Linked DNA regions of Callithrix jacchus. The protein of the gene in region 2 interacts with the protein of the main gene of each other region in a biochemical or structural test. Links are inferred from orthologs where the notes say so. Each region holds a gene or a part of one and is shown on either strand. Other genes may lie near its edges.

Region 1 (4,813 bases), on a different chromosome or scaffold from region 2:
TTGCTTTCACAAATACACAGGTATTATTTACTTCCCATGTTACCAAAAAGCAAACAAAAGTATAGCTAATAGTATAATTAAAACTAATTAATAGACCAGGCACAGTGGCTCACACCTGTAATCCCTGTACTTTGGGAGGCCAAGATGGGTGGATTACTAAAGGTCAGGAGTTCGTGACCAGCCTGGCCAAGGGGAAACCCCGTCTCTACTAAAAATACAAAAATTAGCCAGGCATGGTAGCGCAAGTCTGTAATCCCACCTACTGAGGAGGCTGAGACAGGAGAATGCTTGAACCCAAGAGGCAGAGATTGCAGTGAGCCAAGATCATGGCACTTCACTCCAGCCTGGGCAAAGAAGCAAGACTCCATCTCAAAAAAAAAATAATAATAATCTAATTGGTAGACGGGAGCACTTTGGGAGGCTGAGGCAGGCGGATCACCTGAGGTGAGAAGTTCCAGACCTGCCTGGCCAACATGGTAAAACCCTGTCTACTAAAAATACAAAAATTAGCCAGGTGTGGTGGCAGGTGCCTGAAAAAAATAAAAGATTTAAAAAACTAAAAAAAAAAAAAAACCCCACAGTGGTAAAGTTTCTTCTGAGCTCATCTCCCACCCAGTTTGACTATATTATCAATTATCTAAAGTACAGAAAATGAATAAACAAAATACGAAACTGAACAGGGCAGGTTTTTAGCAATAGTTTCAAATCAAATTTCAGTGGTTTACAAAAATTTCATTAACTCTCTAAAATATATTAACTTCTTAATTTCCCCAAGATTTCAAATTTCCTAAGTCTAAAAAGGAAGTAAAACTGTAACAGAATGCTGAAATAAAAATTAGAAAATATTGGCCAAGTATGGTGGCTCACACCTGTAACCTGAGCACTTTGGGAGGCTGAGGTGGGAGGATCTCTTGAGCCAGCAATTTGAGACCAACTTCAAATTCGAAGTAGGAAGCATTGTCATTCAACATAGTGAGACCCCATCTCTATTTTTACAGAGAAAAAGAAGATACAGACTCCCTATCTACAACATGCTAATAATTTATCAGTAATCTTTATAATTTATATTCAATTTTCAAAACTAAAAGTCCTTAACAAAAAGTATTTGCCATTAATATCATCTAACCTTTGGTCTTTTCAAAATATAACATTCACTCATATGCTCAGTGTTATGAAAAAAATTGTGTTTAAATAAATAATGCAATTCACAAAATGAAAATGAAAACTACTACATTAAAATGCATTATTTTAGCCAGGCGCGGTGGCTCACGCCTGTAATCCTAGCACTTTGAGAGGCCAAGGTGGGGGGATCGCGAGGTTAGATCAAGACTATCCTGGCCAACATAGTGAAACCCTGTCTCTACTAAAATACAAAAATTAGCTGGGCGTGGTGGTGCGCGCCTGTAGTCCCAGCTACTCCAGAGGCTGAGGCAGGAGGATTGCCTGAACCAGGGAGAGGTTGCAGTGAGCCGAGATCACACCACTGCACTCCAGCCTGACACCTGGAGACAGAGAAAAAAAAAAAATGCAATATTTTATTACTAAATACTCAAAAATCTCTAAGAGGCCCTAAGCACAACTCTTAAAAATATATGACGCCATTAACGAGCACACAGATTTCAAACAGCACGCACAGTAAAGTCATAACACTAAAATGCCTTTTTTTTTTGGACAGAGTTTCACTCTTGTTGCCCAGGCTGGAGTGCAATGGCGCGATCTCTGCTCACTCAACTTCCGCCTCCTGGGTTCAAGCAATTCTCCTGCCTCAGCCTCTCAAGTAGCTGGGATTACAGGCATGCGCCACCATGCCGGGCTAATTTTGTATTTTTAGTAGAGAAGGAGTTTCTCCATGTTGGTCAGGCTAGTCTCGAACTCCAGACCTCAAAAGATCCGACCGCCTCGCCCTCCCAAAGTGCTGGGGTTACAGGCATAAGCGACCTCGGGAGGCTGAGGCAGGAGAATCACTTGAACCTGGGAGGTGGAGGTTGTGGTGAGCTGAGCTCACACCATTGCACTCCAGCCCGGGCAACAAGAGGGAAACTCCGCCTCAAAAAAAAAAAAAAAAAAAATCATGCAGAATGTATCCTGAGGTATTACTCTAACAATTACAACATACATTCGAAGCCTTGCATTTCAGTAAATACGGATTTGAAAATTCATTTTATTATGCAAAGATGGCATGAACTATTAAATCACAGTGCTCTATAATCTAGTTTCAATGAAGTCTAGGAAAAGGCAGATCATATGTGTTGACATTTTTAAACGTGTAGTAAAACTTAACCTTTTTAACGTTTCCGAAATGGTCTAAAACCTCAGCGTTAATACATTGTATTCAGTAGGAAAGAGGAGTTGAACGGCTTATCTAAGAAACCACTTGTTCTTCAATTAGCTTTCATCTTGCTCTGTGCTTTTATTTTGTTTGCACTGCAGTTTTTCACTTAAATAAAAAAAAAAATACGTATTCAGTCGGGTAAGAATGACCCTCTATCCCTCCCTTATTTTAAGGAGCAACCGATCTCTACTCCCACACCCATGTCAAGGAGAGTCCCGGGGAATGGGACCCCCACCATGATCCAGGACACCTCTTGGCCTGACCCCTCTCCGGTGTCGGAGGTTGACACCCGTCCACCTTGGGCCTCCTCGCCTCTCTCCCGTAGAGCCTTCAGCCCACAACTAGGACCGGCACCCGCCGGACCCTACGGGTGCACCCGCGCGGGAAACACCCCGCCCCCAGCCTGCAGGCGCGCGGCCGACGCGCGAGCACGACCCACCACCCCGACGGCCGCCGGGGCCCTCGGCGCCGGTCCCACCCGGTCCCAGGCTTCGCTCCACAGAAAGCGCAGCATTCGAGACAGCGCTCTCGAGCTTTCCCCACAAGGTCACAGCTCGGCCGCCAGCAGCAGGCGGAGAGACAGAGCCGGGTCGGAGCGGAAAAGCAGGCAGCCCGGCCCGGGAACAGACCTGTGGAGACCGCCATCTTCTCCTGCAGCCCGACGCAGCCGCCCGCACGCACGCACGAGCCGTCGCACGTCACTTCCGGGAGCGCGCAGCCCTGCATTCGTCACGGCGGCCTCCGCCCCCGGCTGGCGGGGGCTACCCTAGCAGTGACAGCGCGCACGTGGGCCGAGGTGTCGCGGGCCTTGCTGCTGTTTCTGCGGTTCCTTGTGAATCTGCTCTCAAAATGAAATAACTTCATGAGGGCCAGGCGCGGTGGCTCACGCCCTTTGCACTTTGGGAGGCCGAGGCGGGCAGACCACTTGAGGTCATGAGTTCGAAACCGACCTGGCCAACATGGCGAAACCCTCTCTGCTAAAAAACACAAAAATTAGCCAGACGTGGTGGCGCGCTCAGATAATCTCAGCTACTTGGGAGGCTGAGGCACGAGAAATCTCTTGAACCGGAGAGGCAGAGGTTGCAGTGAACCTAGATCTCGCCACTGGACTCCAGCCTGGGCTACAGAGCGAGACGCCATCTCAAAAAATAAAAATAAAACAAGTGGGCATTGACGCATTTGCGTTGATAAATGATTCAAAAGAGTTGGACAAAGTTAAGGAGCAAGGGAGACTGAGATGGGAGGATTGCTTGAGCCCAAGAGGTCCAGCTGTAGTGAGCAGAGATCACTGCACTCCAGCCTGGGTAACAGAGGGAAACTCTGTCTCAAAGAAAAGAAAGAAAGAAAAGTAATACAGGCTGGGCACCGCAGCTCACTACTTCTACTACTACTAATTTCTTCTCCTCCTCCTCCTTCTTTCTTCTTCTTCTTTTTTGAGACAGTCTTTGTCACCCAGGCTGAAGTGCAGTGGTACGATCTTGGCTCACTGCAATGTCTGCCTCCTGGGTTCAAGCAATTCTCCTGCCTCAGCCTCCCGAGCACGGTTCAATTTTGTATATATTTGTTTTTAATTAGAGATGGGTTTCACCACGTTGGTCAGGCCGATCTCAGACTCCTGACTTCATGATCCACCTCGGCCTCCCACAGTGCTGGGATTACAGGCGTGAGTCACCAGGCCTAGCCAATTTTTGTATTTATAGTAGAGATTTCACAATGTTGGCCAGGCTGGTTTTGAACTCATGACCTCAGGTGACCCGTCCACTTCAACCTCCCAGAGTGCTGGGATTACAGGTGTGAGCCACCGCATCCGGCCCACAGCTCACTTCTGTAATCCTAACACTTTGGGAGGCTGAGGCAGGAGGACTGCTTAAGCCCAAGAGTTTGAGACCAGCCTGGACAACATAGTGATACCCTGTGTCTACATAAAATAGTCTACATAGTGATACCCTGTGTCTACAGGTGGTTCATGCCTGTAGCCTCAGCTACTCAGGAGGCTGAGATGGGAGGATCACTTGAGCCAGAAGGTTAAGAAGTTAAGGTTACAATGAGCTATGATGGCACCACTGTAATAGAGCTTGGGCAAAAGAATGAGACTCTTTTTTTTTTTGAGACGGAGTTTTGCTCTTGTTACCCAGGCTGGAGTGCAATGGCATGATCTCGGCTCACCGCAATATCCGCCTCCTGGGTTCAAGCAATTCTCCTGCCTCAGCCTGCCGAGTAGCTGAGATTACAGGCACGCGCTACCGTGCCCAGCTAATTTTTGTATTTTTAGTACAGACGGGTTTAACTTTGTTGACCAGGATTGTCTGGATCTCTTGACCTCATGATCCACCCGCCTCGGCCTCCCAAAGTACTGGGATTATAGGCCTGAGCCACCGCGCCAAGACTCTATCTTAAAAAAAAAAAAAAGAAAAAGAAAAAAGAAAGAAAAATAATACAGTATCCTTACAGTAAGCCACTCTAACTTGACAAGCCAAAATG
Region 2 (4,368 bases):
CTTCCCTGGAGAAGTTTATACCAAAAAAGAAGGAAGGCAAACTGAATACAAAAACATACATGTGCACTGTGTTTTCAAAAAAAAAAGTCTACAGGCACAGCACTTTACACTGTAAGCACCCCTAAAGTTTCTGAATCTCTGTTTATGTGTACTAATAAAACCTAAAGTAACTCAACATGTAACCCTGAGTCGTAAGTAAATTGGGTTATTTCCTGCTGGTCTGGGACATGTTTATGATCTTTCCCTTCATGTGCAAATAATCTAGCAAACAGCTTGTAACAAGAACTCAAAATATTCAAGTATAAGTAATAATCAGCAGAGAGCAAAGGTAGGGAACAAATGGCAGTGAAAGGAAACAGCAGAAAAATGTTGCCACAGAGCAAGCAAAAGTTATGACCAAAGATACTGTCATAATTTAACATCACCCAATAAAACAGTTCTTCCCCAAAAAAAGCTTAAAGCACAGCTGCTCGGGAGGCTGAGGCAGGAGAATTGCCTGAACCCAGGAGGCGGAGGTTGCGGTGAGCTGAGATCGCGCCATTGCACTCCAGCCTGGGTAACAAGAGCGAAACTCCGTCTCAAAAAAAAAAAGCTTAAAGCAAAGACAAAGAGCTTTGAAAAAAAAAATGGCAAGACAACATAAAGAGATGAAAGATGAGCTGGTATAGCTCAAGAAAGTGAAAGAAAACAGTGAATCATCAGAGAAATGAAAGTCACACTGAAACCAATATAAGTCATTATCAAAAAGGCTAGTAACTGATAAAAACATAGAAAAGGATGTAGGAAACAGGATTGAAAAAACAAAATTAAACAAAAAAATGTAAAAGATCAGAAACAGGCCAGGCGCAGTGGCTCATGCCTGTAATCCCAGCACTCTGGGAGGCTGAGGCAGGCAGATCACAAGGTCAGGAATTTGAGACCAGCCTGGCCAATATGAGGAAACCCCATCTCAACTAAAAATACAAAAATTAGCTGGGTGTGGTGACAGGCACCTGCAGTCCCAGCTACTCGGGAGGCTGAGGCAGGAGAATCGCTTGAACCTGGGAGGCAGGGGTTGCAGTAAGCTGAGATCACGCCATTGCACTCCAGCCAGGGTGACAGAGAGAGACTCCATCTCAAAAATAAATAAATAAATAAAAAAAATGATACCTATGGAATGCAGATAAAAGACATCTAACATACACACAGAGAAATAAAATAATGGAACAGAAAACAATATTTAAAGAAAGCTTTCCAGGAAAGGGGGAAAAAAGCCTAGAATCTAAAGATTTAAATAATACCACAGGGAAAGTCAACAAGGAGGTTGCTAAACTTTAGAGGAAAAAAAGACAAAACAAAACCAGTCTTCCCCACAGAAACATTCAATGCAAAATACAGTGATACAATGACAATATAGATTCTGAAGGAAATGGGTGATCCAAAAATTATATAACCAGGCCATCTGAGATATTTAAGTATTTTAAAGCAACAGAAGAAATATAGCCTAATGGCTAAGAGCACAGATTTTTAGAGTTAGCTGGTCATGAATTCAAAACCTGGCTCTGCCACTTTAATTATGTAACCTTGGACAGGTGCTTAACCTATGTCTTGAGCTTCCTCAGTTGTACAGTGGCATTGTTAAAGTGCTTACCTCATAGAACTACTGTTATTTAATTTAATACATGTAAAGTATTTAAAATAGTGCTGGGACTATATTAAGTGCTATACACTGCTGCTAGTGTTAGTCTGCTAATCTGCTGCTAGTATTAGTACCGGTAGTATTATGGCAACAAATACTTCTGAATATTTAACAATGTAAGGAATAGGCAAAATAATACAAAGGTTAAACTTACAAGCTCTAAACCAAACTGCCAGAGTTTAAATATCAGTCCTGTCATTCACTAACTGTGTGACAATGGTACAGATCACCTAAACTGCTCTGCCCTTCCCGTAGAACTGTCTTGGTAAATGGCAATTCCATCCTTCCAGATATTCAGGTAAAAAGGCTTGAAGTTATCTTTGACTCCTCTCGTTCACACACCATAGCATATCCACCAGCAAGTTCTGTTGGTTTTATATTCACAATTTAACAGAATCTAATCATTTCTCATTTCCTTTATCACTACCATGGTAAAAAAAACCACCATCGGTGGCTTATGCCTGTAATCCCAGCACTTTGGGAGGCCGAGGCGGTTGGATCACCAGGTCAAGAAATCGAGACCATCCTGGTCAACAAGGTGAAACCCCGTCTCTACTAAAAATACAAAAAATTAGCTGGGCATGGTGGCACGTGCCTGTAATCCCAGCTACTCAGGAGGCTGAGGCAGGAGAAATGCCTGAACCCAGGAGGCAGAGGTTGAGGTGAGCCGAGATCGCGCCATTGCACTCCAGCTTGGGTAACAAGAGCGAAACTCCGTCTCAAAAAAAAAAACCCACCATCATCTCTTACTTTGATTGCTACTGGTCTCCCTATTTCTGAACTTATTCCTATTCAAACAACCTAAATCTGAACACCGCAGGCCAGAGTGATCTTTTAAAAATACAAATCAAATTATGTCACTCTCCTGGCTTGAAACCCTTTAAGGTTTCCTGTCATAAAAAGTAAAACCCAAAGTCCTTGAAATATGTATTACACAGCCCCATTCCAATACATCTTTGATATCATGACTATTTTCCCTTTTGTTCATACTATCCAGCCATACTTGCCTCTCTGTTCTTCTTCAAGCTCCCCAGACATGCTCCCAACTGGGAGCATTTACACTTGCTGTTTCTTCTGGCTGAAACACCCCTTAATCCCAATCTCCTTTAGATCTTTGCCTATATATCATCTTCTCGTGAAGTCTTCCTTAATGCCCTACTAAAATAGCTTTGGCATTCTCCATCCCCTTTCATTGCTTTATTCCATAAAACGTAATCATGTTTTAAAATTCCATTTATTCCCATTAAAATATAAATTCCTTGGGTGCAGGGATTTTTGCATTTTATTCTGCTGTATCCCAATCTGTATTGCCTGGCACACAGTGGGCACTTAATAAATTTTTGTCGAAAGAATATGAAAAGAAATAAGTTTTGAACTCAGAAATCTCCTGCTTAGAACAATCTTTCCCAGTCTCTCTAATTCCTATCAAATCTGCTTTGTACCTACCTCACTGAAGTTTTTATGCTTTGAAGATTCCCCTTTCACAGTCCTATTCTGCTTTCACTTGTCTCTTATTCATTCTGTTCCCTATGGGCATTCATATTAAATCTGATCTTGCTTGGACTAGAATTTCACACCTTCTACCAATCCTTAATCTTCTTGTTAAACCTCTTTCATCGGTTCCTATTCCCAGATTTCCACACGATGCTGGAAATAGAAGCAAGCAAGGTCTTCTGGCTAGCAACTAAGAACTTTGGTTTAATGTAAGCTTTAAATTTATTCCAAACTTAAGAAATTACTTATCTGGTGAATGATACTATTATTTCATTCACTTTAACTATTAATTTGTAAAACATACTATAATTCAATGGCTTTCTTTCTCCATACCTTCCAATAGTAGCTCTGCCTTCATTTTTCACAGACTGATAAATCCTTCTTTCGTCATCTGAAAGTGTAATGTGCTGAATAAATACTTTACGTTCTGGTAACTCCAAAACAGGTTTTCCTTTAATTTTGCTTGTCTTTGTTCTTCTAAGTGTAATATTTTTAATTAGGGACTGTAAACGCCTAATCAGGATAAAACAAATAATTATGTAACGTTTAATTTCTATATAAATTGATCCAATAAGAACAAAAAAAGTCAAATCCCTTATTTGGGGTTTTAACCAATCTGATAATCACAGAAGTATTTTACAAAAATAAATTAAAACAAATGCAAGGAAATTTCCCCTCAATACCTATCACAGTTTAATGTTCTTATATCCTGCTCTTATTCTCTTAAGCTCTGCTTGCCATTTTTATTCTAATCATTGACTCTTTCACTTCTCAACTGTCCTGCCAAGTCTATCACCCAATAGTTAACACTCAAATTCTAAGTATCTATTACGTGCAAGACACTGAATTAAATGTTGTAACAACACAAATATGGGTAAGATACTACCTTCTGTAATATGAAAATCAAAGGTACATAAAAAAGTAATTGTGTAAAGTAATGAGTGTCCCCAAAATAAAAACGTAATATGGGAATTCATAAGACAGAAATGCTTTACAGGTTCCACAATCTTTACATTTCCTTTCCAGTATTAGAAAAAAAGAAGTGTATCAATTCTTACTTTCTTCCCAACATTGAAATATAAATACAATTTCCTGGAGTTTAAATAGTTGGTTCTGAGGAATCAAGTGGACAGTGCTGCCAACTAGGTTAGTGGCTCTTGAAGCTTTTCATTATAACTCACAATAAGAAACACATT
Region 3 (5,067 bases), on a different chromosome or scaffold from region 2:
GAACCAAGTGAACCTATTATCTGAATTTTTAAAATTTATACAAAAAAAAGACTAATGTTGCCAACAGTCCATATGATGAAATATTATGCAACCATTAAAAAACATGCTTTCAAAGAATATTTAATGCCATAGGAAAATAAAAATCAGAAAATAAATATATGCCAATAATACATAATAATGGCAACTCTGTAGTTTAATCTTCATGGCAATCTTATAAAGTCCACAGCATCAGTACCCCAATTTTAAAAACAAAGCCTTCAGAGTTCCTAGGTTGGCTGAATCAAACCCAAGAAGTTGACTCCACAATGATCCCAAATTTTAAATGCGTAAAAACTGAAGGAAAATAAGGTAAAATGTTAAACACTGGTTCTCTGGGTGGTAGGATTACAGATGATTTTCTTTTTCACCTTTATCTTACTCTGAATTTTAATTTTTTTCTACTGTGTACACCTATTACATTTACAATATGCCAAAAAGAGTCCAATTTTGCTAAAATAAAACCAGGGAAATAATAAAATGCCAAAATCTTCCATTATTGTGGATGGTAAGCTGTCACAGACACAAAAATCTAGAGGGTTAATGTTAAAGATCAATTAAGATCAGAGGCAGGCCCAGAAGCCGGAACCAGTCTGTCATACCACTCTTTCTTATCTATGCCATTCTCTTCGGTGGAGTAATGATTCAGAAAGATCTGCAGAGCACAATTTGTGGAAGTTGACACTCCATAAGATGAGCTATTTCGGGTTCAAATTTCTGGTCATGTCTCTCCAAGACTGTAATATGCGTATCACATGTGCCTCAACCAACCAAACAAAAAACGATGCCTGAATAGAGAGTGGTCAGCAGACACCCCAAAATGTCTTTAGTTTAGAGAGAGAGAAAGTGAAAGGGAGTAGAAAATGGGTAGAAAAACATAATACTTACAAAAATACCCAAGTTTTTGGGGTTACAGATCCCTTTGAAAATTAGATGAAAACTATGGACTCTATTCTCAGAAAAACATATATACGAAAATTCTACAAATAACTTGAGACTCCGAAGTCTTTCTACGGATCCTAAGTCAGGAACCATGCATTCTGAGTCAGACTTCTATTAGAAGTAACTTTAGTCAGATCCACTTCTGGGATCTGATAGTTCTTTGTCCCTGGAAGAGTTCAAGCAAAAATTAGGTGAGAAATTGGCAGATATGTTATAAAAGAGTTTAAAATAATGAAGGAGGCTGGTTTCCAAACCTTAAGATTCTATGATTCTAATGTGAGCAAAAAATATGGGCTCAATCAACTCTCTGGTTGAACAATCACTGAACACTCTGTGGTATCAAACTCTATATTCAGTGCCGTGGTGAGATACCAAAGTCAGAGAAGACATGGAACCTGCCTCTAAAGAACACTGAAATTGTGGGAATATGTAAAATATGCTTAAATCTACAAAGCAGGAGCTTTACAGGTTACAGAGTTCTTTTACTTTCCTTATCCAAATCAAGCTTCATGACAACAAATTAAAAGGGGAGAGAAGCACTTAGCACAGTGCTAATAATAGTAATAAAATATATTCATTGAATGCTTACTACATTCCAGATACTTTCAATCAAGCAGCAAATAATACTTGAGCACTCACTTTCTGTCAGGCACCGCATCAAGCACAATGAATAAGCCTGCAGAATCTGCACCCACACACATGAACTCATTTATTTAATCAACCCTATGAACTGTTTATTTTTGTCTCTAATTTATAGTTGAAGAAATTCAGGCTCAGAGAGGTTATGTTACTAACTGAAGGTCACACAGCTAAGAGGCAGAGATCAGATTTCACCCAGGACCACTAGAATTCAAATCTGTGCTCTTTTCCACGGCATCTTGGTGCCAAGCCCATCACAACTTCGAAACCACCGCTTTCCTGGATCCTTTCACAATGTCAGCTTCTCGTCATGCAGATATCTCAAGTCCCCAAGACCTCTAAATATCACGGATGACAGCAGGAAGAACAAGGCCTTATACTTATTTTAGCCTTCACTTAATTCTAAAGTCAACTTTATGAGCCAGTGGGACAGATACTATAATCCCCAAGACTACAAAACTGAGGAAGAGAAAAAGGCTATCTTAGCCACTGTCAGAAACAAAAATAATCACAGAGCAAAAAGAAACACCAAACAACTGACTTTTAGCCAGCACGGGAATGTGCATCTGCTCTTGAGCAAATCCAGGGACCACCACTACGTAAATGGAAACTGTTGCCTTGCCAAAACAGAAAGTGGCTACAAAAATAAGTGTTATTTAACTGAAATAATTCGATGCAATGAAAGATGACTGCTGAATCTTGATCTTTGTTTAAAAGACAGAGAGATGAGCAATTGTTACAGAAGAGATAGGACGTGTGAGGGAGGAGCTGGGGCAGTATGTCGGTACAAACCAGCAGTAGGTTTATTGAGAATAATCAGAAGAGCCTGTAAAGGAGACTACCTGCTTGGCTACGTGATTACATACATGTTACTTGATAAAGTGTCCACCCAAAATCATGTCCGGTGTCACTGTTTAGTGCTTGACACAAAGTAAGCTTTCAGTGAAGGTTAGCTGACAATGTCATTGTTTAGAACAGCTGTTTTTCTCCATGTTACTGTTCGGATTGGATCGCAGAATATCTGGTTCCATTAGACTGTCAACCTCAGCTCACCAAGCTTGTCCTTGTCACTTATCAAAGGAGTAAACTGAGACCCAGAGCCACGCGGTCGGCTAGTGACAGAGCAGAGCCGGGTACTATGGCCCAGTGCGACTCTCGCGCCTCATTTTTTCTCCTCAAGGCGAGGACATCCTCCTCAAAGGGAGGGACCGCCCCCCGCAGGCACCCGGGAGCCCCCAACCTCCCCGAAGCACTCACCTTCATAACTGCCAGGCCCGGCGGCCACCGAGGCTCGGTTAGGGAGTCCATGGTCGCTCCTGAAGATGCTGGGGTCTACCACTCAACTAGCCTCCGGCGCTCCAATACCACTCGAAATTCCCCGCGCTATCGCATTACGTCACAACCCGCGACGCGCCAGAGGCGGGCGCGGAGCCTGCCGGAAATTGTAGTAGGATGTGGGCGGGGCGCTGCTGATGGTGCTTGTACTGCGCCTGCGCTAGGCTATGTCCGCTACTGTGTAATATCTCTCCCATATTACAACACTGGGAGGTAGGTGTTATCATTGTCAGTTTACACAAGCGGAAACTACTCCGGAAAAGCTGAATAGAGTTTCGAGTCAGATTCGAAACAGGACCTCTGGAGTTTAAATAGGAGCTCTTCCTTTTAATCATATTAAAATTTTAATGTACAGTTTTTCTTCAGAGAGAAGCACTATTAACTTCGGCATATAGCCTTCCAGATATTTCCTATGCAAATTGGCAAAGATTCTTGGCTTGACCAAACTTTAGTCAGGCTCCTGAACCTTCTCCTAGGCCAATCTGTGTACTTCGTGATAAAATCCAGTTTTAGCAAAGAACTCTGCTAAATCAAGTTAGCAATATCCCCACCCTTGAATCCTTGCCCTTGATATTCCCACCAAGTTAGCAAGAATCTGGGAAGGGACATTTCGGAATCCATATAGGCTCATGGCAAAATCCGAATATCCCACAATAAAAACTAGAAACCAGCTATCTGAAAATGCCTTGCAATGTGTGGATTCTCACACAGTTGAAACCTCTGTTTTGATTCAGTAGGTTGGAAACACTCTTTTTGTAGAATCTAGGAAGGGACATTTTGGAGCCCATTGAGGCTTAAGATGAAGAACACGCCCCACGTGGTCCATGCACTGATTCATTTCACAAATATTTTCTGAATGCTTACAACGGGCCAGGCACTTGAGCTTTCTTGGGAAGCAGGCAGAGATTAGACTGTTATGGCCATCTTACAAATGAGGACACTGAGGCTCAGAAAGCTTAAGACTTCACTCCTCTGAGTTCTCTTCATAAGAACCCTCTAGTCTCTTAGCCAAAGCTGTATTCAATTGATTTTTCCCAGCTTGCACCCAAATACTTACTGGGCAGTAATATTAATACTAATAGCATTTAGAGAAAGGACTTTAGACTTTGGAGGCTGAGGCGGGTGGATCACAAGGTCAAGAGATCAAGACCATCCTGGTCAACATGGTGAAACCCCGTCTCTACTAAAAATACAAAAAATCAGCTGGGCATGGTGGCGCGTGCCTGTAATCCCAGCTACTCAGGAGGCTGAGGCAGGAGAATTGCCTGAACCCAGGAGGCGGAGGCTGCAGTGAGCCAAGATCGCGCCATTGCACTCCAGCCTGGGTAAGAAGAGCGAAACTCCGTCTCAAAAAAAAGAGAAAGGACTTTAGTATCCATTACAGTAGTAGCTGGCATTTATTAGGCACGTGTATGCAAAACACCATTCTAAGTTTTTTACACATATGCACTTATTTGACTTATTCACAAGGCACCCTGCTGGTAGTGGAAGATGAAAGATTTGAACTCAGTCTGGCTTGAGAGTCCATATTGACCACAACAGAATATTCTCATAAGGCCTTCATCATGAGAACTAAGTCTTAGAGAGGTAAAGGAATTCATATAAACCACAGTTTGTCAGTGGCATTATCCAGGATGGAACCTAGGTCTTTTAACCTAAAACCAGAAGAAATCACCCACTGATAATTTTTTGAGAAACAGTTAAGTAAACCAAGTCAAGGGGCAGAGCCAGGTCTGAGAATCTCAGGTTGTTGGACCTAGTGGGACTCCCAAAAGGAAGATGAGGAATGGAGGTTTATGGTGCCAACCCCCACCCTTATGCTTTGTATCAGGCAATCATAGAACGGCATTCAAATGCATGCCAGGCTGAGCTGGAAGAGGTTGGATAGTTCTGGATGCAGGGGCAGTAGGGTCTTGGAGAGATAAGGGAAAAGCATCTAAGACCAGGTCCGTGGACTGAGTGAACCAGTAATTGTTTTTTCACAATACTAGTCGGACAAGGTAATTAGGTTTTTCTTTTCCTTTTTTTCTTTTTCTTTCTTTCTTTTTTTTTTTTTTTTGAGACGGAATCTCAAACTGTCGCCCAGGCTGTAGTGCAGGGCACAATCTCGGCTCA
Region 4 (5,060 bases), on a different chromosome or scaffold from region 2:
CAAATCACAGTGTAATAGATTTGACGGCATTTTAAATGTCAATTAAATTCTACCCATGTGGGACTTACAATGTAGATGAATTATTTTTGCTATTTTAGAAGTGATGTGTTCCTAAAAATGTCGAATGATAAAGAGGTGTACGGTTGTGTTAAACTCATGTTAAATTGAAATGAGGACATAAACATGCCTCTGACTGTGGTCAGAGAAGGCCTCTCTGAGAAGATAGCATCTTGTCAGAGAAGACAGCTGTTTGGAGAGTTGGAAGAAAAGCATTCTAGGCTGAGAGAATAGCATGATTATAAAGGTCAGCATAGGCCGGGAGTGGTGGCTCAAGCTTGTAATCCCAGCACTTTGGGAGGCCGAAGCGGGTGGATCACAAGGTCAAGAGATCGAGACAATCCTGGTCAACATGGTGAAACCCCATCTCTACTAAAAATACAAAAAATTAGCTGGGCATGGTGGCGCGTGCCTGTAATCCCAGCTACTCAGGAGGCTGAGGCAGGAGAATTGCCTGAACCCAGGAAGCGGAGGTTGCAGTGAGCCGAGATCGCTCCATTGCACTCCAGCCTGGGTAACAAGAGCAAAAACTCCGTCTCAAAAAAAATAAAATAAAATAAAAAAATAAAGGTCAGCATACTTGGAATATATTCAGACAAGTTAGATGTAGCACTCAGACTAAGTGCTAGAGTGGTGCAAGGTGAGGTTGCATCTGGAGTAAGAGTGGTGCAAGGTGAGGTTTCGGTGAGGTTGCAGAGAGGCTGGGGTGAACTCTTGCAGGACTTTGTAGGCTCTGTAAAAGTGCAAGCGAACGTTGTCAACAGCAGGTCTTTGATATGATCCAATTTACATTTTAAGAGGATACTTTAACATCTAGTAAATGTACTATTGAATCAGTAAAGAATCAATTAAGTAAATTTTGATCAGATATTAAACTATTAGAAAATAATAAAAGCAGCTGGGCACAGTGGCACACACCTGTAATCCCAGCACTTTGGGAGGCCAAGGTGGGCAGATTACTTGAGGTCAGGAGTTCCAGACCAGCCTGATCAACAAAGTGAATCTCTGTCTCTACTGAAAATACAAAAATTAGCTGGGTGTGGTGGCACACACCTGTAATCCCAGCTACTTGGGAGGCTGAGGCACAAATTGCTTGAACCTGGGAGGCAGAGGTTACAGTGAACCAAAATTGCGACACTCCCCTCCAGCCTGGGCAACAGGGCAAGACTATGTTTCAAAAAAAAAAAAAAAATGTTTCTTACAGAATGATGATGATGACTGACAATTTTTTTTTTTTTTTGGAGATGGAGTCTTGCTCTGTCACCAGGCTGGCGTGCAGTGGTGCCATCTCAGATCACTGCAACCTCTGCCTCCCGGGTTCAAGCAATTCTCCTGCCTCAGCCTCTCGAGTAGCTGGAACTACAGGTGTGTGCCACCATGCCTAGCTAATTTTTGAATGTTTTAGTAGAGTCGGGGTTTCACCATGTAGGTCAGGATGGTCTTGATCTTGTGATCTGCCCGCCACAGCCTCCTAAAGTGCTGGGATTACAGGTGTGAGCCACCATGCCCCGCCCGATGATTATTATTTTTGAGAAAGGTTCTCACTTTGTCATCCAGGCTGAGGTACAGTAGCATGAGCTCACCTCACCACAGCTTTGACCTGGGCTCAGGTGATCCTCCCACCTCAGCCTTCCAAGTGGCTGGGACTACAGGTGAACACCACCAAGCCCAGCTAATATTTTGGAGAGATAGGGTTTCACCATATTGCCTAGGCTGGTCTCAAACTCTTGGGCTCAAATGATCCTCCCACCTTTGCCTCCCAAAGTGCTGGGGTTACAGACATGAGCCACCGTGCCTGGCCTCTTACAGAATTATTAATAATTCCCCCAGAAATTGGACATAACCTTAAGGTCTAACAGTGTTTGCATTTGTTAGGTAAATTGTGATAAATCTGTAAGATGGAATATTGTTTAGCCTCTAACGTACGATTTGCAAAGAGCTTAATAAAGAGAAAAATCACGTTATGAAGCAGAATAAACAAAGGTATTCCAATTTTCTCAAATTGTTATATCTGGGTGTATGTGTACAGTAAATGGAATGGAAAAGCAAGAAGATAAATATGAACAGTAATTATCTGGCTGATGGTGCCACAAATAATTTTAAATTTTTCTTGCATTTTCTGTATTTTCTATACTTTTTTCAGTAAAAATGTATTGGTCAGAAAATGAATACTGGGAGAAAATGCTATAAATTATTTTATGTAGTATCTGGCAAATTTCTTCATAAGGTAATATGTATCAGAATTATTCTCAATCCTGGCTGCACTCTAGACTCACCTGGGGAGCTTTAAAAAAGCCTATTCCACTTGGCCCTCCCCCAGAAATTTAGTTACTTTAGGATGGCCCCTCCATCAATAATTTTAGCAGCCGTCAAAGTAAATCATTTTTTGTTTGAGATGGAATGTCACTCTGTCACCTAGGCTGGAGTGCAAGTGGCGTGACCTCCGCACACTGGAACCTCTGCCTCCCAGGTTCAAGCGATTCTCCTGCCTCAGCCATCTGAGTAGCTGAGATTACAGGCTCCCGCCACCATGGCCAGCTAATTTTTGTATTTCTGGTAGCGATGGGGTTTCACTATGTTGGCCAGCCTGGCTCAAAATTATTGAGCCTTTCCATAGTCCAGAAGACAAATTTTAGAAAGTGAGGAAGGGCTCGGTGCAGTGGCTCACGCCTGTAATCCCAACACTTTGGGAGGCCAAGATGGGCGGATCATCTGAAGTCAGCAGTTCAAGACCAGCCTGATATGGTGAAACCCTGTCTCTACTAAAAATACAAAAATTGGCCGGGCGTGGTGGCGAGCGCCTGTAGTCCCGGCTCCTCGGAAGGCTGAGACAGAATTGCTTGAACCCGGGAGGAGGAGGCTGCAGTGAGCTGAGATAGTGGGCGACAGAGCGAGACTCTGTCTCAATAATAAATAAATAAATAAACTGAGGAAGATCTCAACTGCAAAATGCAAATCATACTCACTTCCAAGCCATGTGTGGATTAAATGAGATAAGCCAACTAAAGCGATTACCCAGCTCAGTGCCTAGTATACAGTTAGCGCTCAACAAGTACTAGAGACCGCTTGGCAAAGCAAGGCAGATTGAAGTGTGGGTTCCACTTCTCATCATGTGATAAGCGATAATGCTTTTAATCAGGTCGGCTCACCTGGCCTCTCCATTCGGCCTAAATAACGTCTACTTACTTGCGTGAAGAAAGAGCCCTTGCTGCTGCGGGCTCAGAGCCCAGGTCAGCAAGTATTTGTCAGGCTAGAGCCTCCGGGTGGCGCCTCTCGCCGTCGGTAATCCGTTACCTCCAGAACCAGGGCGCCAGCTTCAGCCATCTGCATTGAAGCAGGAGCTCCCATTGGCTAATCGGACTCTGAAACGCACGCCTATTCCCGCCCCTGACGCTGCCGTCCAATGCGAGCCTCTCAACTCTGCTCCGCCCCGCCCCCGTCTCCCTGTCCCTGGCGTATTTGCGCCGTTGGTCGATCTTTCGGGTCGTGATGGCGGCGCTGCGCGTGCGCACTCGCTCCGAGCCCGCCTCCGGGGAGGAGGAGCTCGCGGGCCGGGGCCAGGGAAGGCAGACCCTGCTCCGCCCGGGTGAAAGGGCCGTGACGGCGCTGGGCGGGGCCGAGCTCCAGGGCTGGCTGCTGGGCTGCTAAGGGAACTGTGAGCTGTTCGGAGCCGCGCGACTCCCGGGCGGGGCGGGGCCGGCCGAGGGAGTCCGCGCGTGCCCGCGCTGAGCTGCCTTTCCTGGCTGCTGCGCTGCTCGCCCGCGGCGACGTCGGGCAGGTTTTTCCAGGATGACCGAGCTGAGGCAGAGGGTGGCCCACGAGCCGGATGCGCCGCCCGAGGACAAGGTAGCGGCAGCCTCGGGGTGGGCGCGGCCGGGACAGCGGCGCATCCAGGAGGCCCGGTGGGGACGCGCGCAGGGGGGTCCTCTAGTCCTCTGATCCCTTGTCGTGGCGGACGGCGGCCCCGGGCAGCGCGATGGGTCCTCGGGTGCCTAGCCTTTGCTGCGCGCATGTCAAGGGTTGGCGGGTCGGAGTCCCGGCTCAGGGTCTGGCTGGAGTGGCTCCCCTGGGGCGCAGGAAGGAGCTCGCCTGGAGTGGCGCACGGCCTCCTGCCTCGCTGGGCTGACTGCGGGACCCCCCTCTCCCCCTACCTCCCTGAGGCCTTCCTGGAGGTGAAGATGTGCAGAGCTTTCTCAGATAGGCGGCTCCTCTGACCGCGACTTAGGCTCTCCGTTCCCTTTTGCAATGTTATTATTTTGGGGGGTGTCGGAATCGGGACAAGGCCATAGCATTTGCCTCCTGGCATATGTAAATCCCTTCTTGGACAGGAAATCATCGGCTTTGAGCAGAGAGGTGTGTTACGCAGTGAGCCACCCCGTCATCAGCAGGTGTTGGAGGGAGTCCTCCCAGTTGATGGGTTGTTTCCTGTGCCGTATGGGTTCTGGTGAGTAGGGGAGGAGAGTAGGAAGGAGGCCATCTTGGCGGGGACAGCGGCTGGGGGGTGACGGGTGTGGGAGTAGATTCCTTTGGGTGAAGTGAAAGGTCTGTGTAGGGGAGTTGAGGAAGGTAGGGAGTAGTTGTATTACTGTGGACATTGAATGGCAGCATAGGACTTTGTAGTTGTAGTTGTGCTTTCCGAGATAGCAGTGGTCAGGAGTCCTGTATTTGGAAAACTGATCTGGCAGTGATGTGTAGAATGGATTGAGGGAGCTTGGACTAGAATGAGGGAGACTGGTTCACTTGGGGATTGCCCATGGGTGACCTGTAGATGTTTTCTTTGGCCCACATGTTGCCTTAAAAATCAGAAAATTTCTCCTAACAATCTAAGTTTCTTGCCTTAGATAATTGGAGGGTCCACCATCATTTTCTCACCTGATTAATGATTGGCTGGAGCTGAGGATCATCTGTTCCCACCAATTCCTGTTGCCTTACACCCAGGCTCATGGCTTCTTCTAATGCAGCCTGTAACTTTTTGATAACTGGAAGAAAGGGACATTAGGGAG

What was found.
Region 1: the proteins of HLTF (region 2) and UBE2V2 form a complex in vitro, tested with the Homo sapiens proteins (2 studies listed by BioGRID). The link is inferred for Callithrix jacchus from reciprocal best matches to the Homo sapiens genes HLTF and UBE2V2.
Region 3: the proteins of HLTF (region 2) and RAD18 form a complex in vitro, tested with the Homo sapiens proteins (2 studies listed by BioGRID). The link is inferred for Callithrix jacchus from reciprocal best matches to the Homo sapiens genes HLTF and RAD18.
Region 4: of the proteins of HLTF (region 2) and PCNA, one has a biochemical effect on the other in vitro, tested with the Homo sapiens proteins (2 studies listed by BioGRID). The link is inferred for Callithrix jacchus from reciprocal best matches to the Homo sapiens genes HLTF and PCNA.

The regions. Positions count from the first base shown.
Region 1 is NC_133517.1:6,664,045-6,668,857, forward strand, and holds the start of UBE2V2 (ubiquitin-conjugating enzyme E2 variant 2), read right to left. Parts: upstream 3,061-4,813; 5' UTR 3,059-3,060; coding exon 2,962-3,058; intron 2,738-2,961; exon of another isoform or gene 2,568-2,737; intron 2,438-2,567; exon of another isoform or gene 2,282-2,437; intron 1-2,281. UniProt on the Homo sapiens protein: Has no ubiquitin ligase activity on its own. The UBE2V2/UBE2N heterodimer catalyzes the synthesis of non-canonical poly-ubiquitin chains that are linked through 'Lys-63'. This type of poly-ubiquitination does not lead to protein degradation by the proteasome.
Region 2 is NC_133518.1:36,208,362-36,212,729, reverse strand, and holds part of HLTF (helicase-like transcription factor), read right to left. Parts: intron 3,686-4,368; coding exon 3,506-3,685; intron 1-3,505. UniProt on the Homo sapiens protein: Has both helicase and E3 ubiquitin ligase activities. Possesses intrinsic ATP-dependent nucleosome-remodeling activity; This activity may be required for transcriptional activation or repression of specific target promoters.
Region 3 is NC_133516.1:66,167,680-66,172,746, forward strand, and holds the start of RAD18 (E3 ubiquitin-protein ligase RAD18), read right to left. Parts: upstream 3,013-5,067; 5' UTR 2,926-3,012; coding exon 2,875-2,925; intron 1-2,874. UniProt on the Homo sapiens protein: E3 ubiquitin-protein ligase involved in postreplication repair of UV-damaged DNA. Postreplication repair functions in gap-filling of a daughter strand on replication of damaged DNA.
Region 4 is NC_133506.1:12,557,992-12,563,051, forward strand, and holds the start of PCNA (proliferating cell nuclear antigen), read right to left. Parts: upstream 3,386-5,060; 5' UTR 3,244-3,385; intron 791-3,243; exon of another isoform or gene 638-790; intron 1-637. UniProt on the Homo sapiens protein: Auxiliary protein of DNA polymerase delta and epsilon, is involved in the control of eukaryotic DNA replication by increasing the polymerase's processibility during elongation of the leading strand.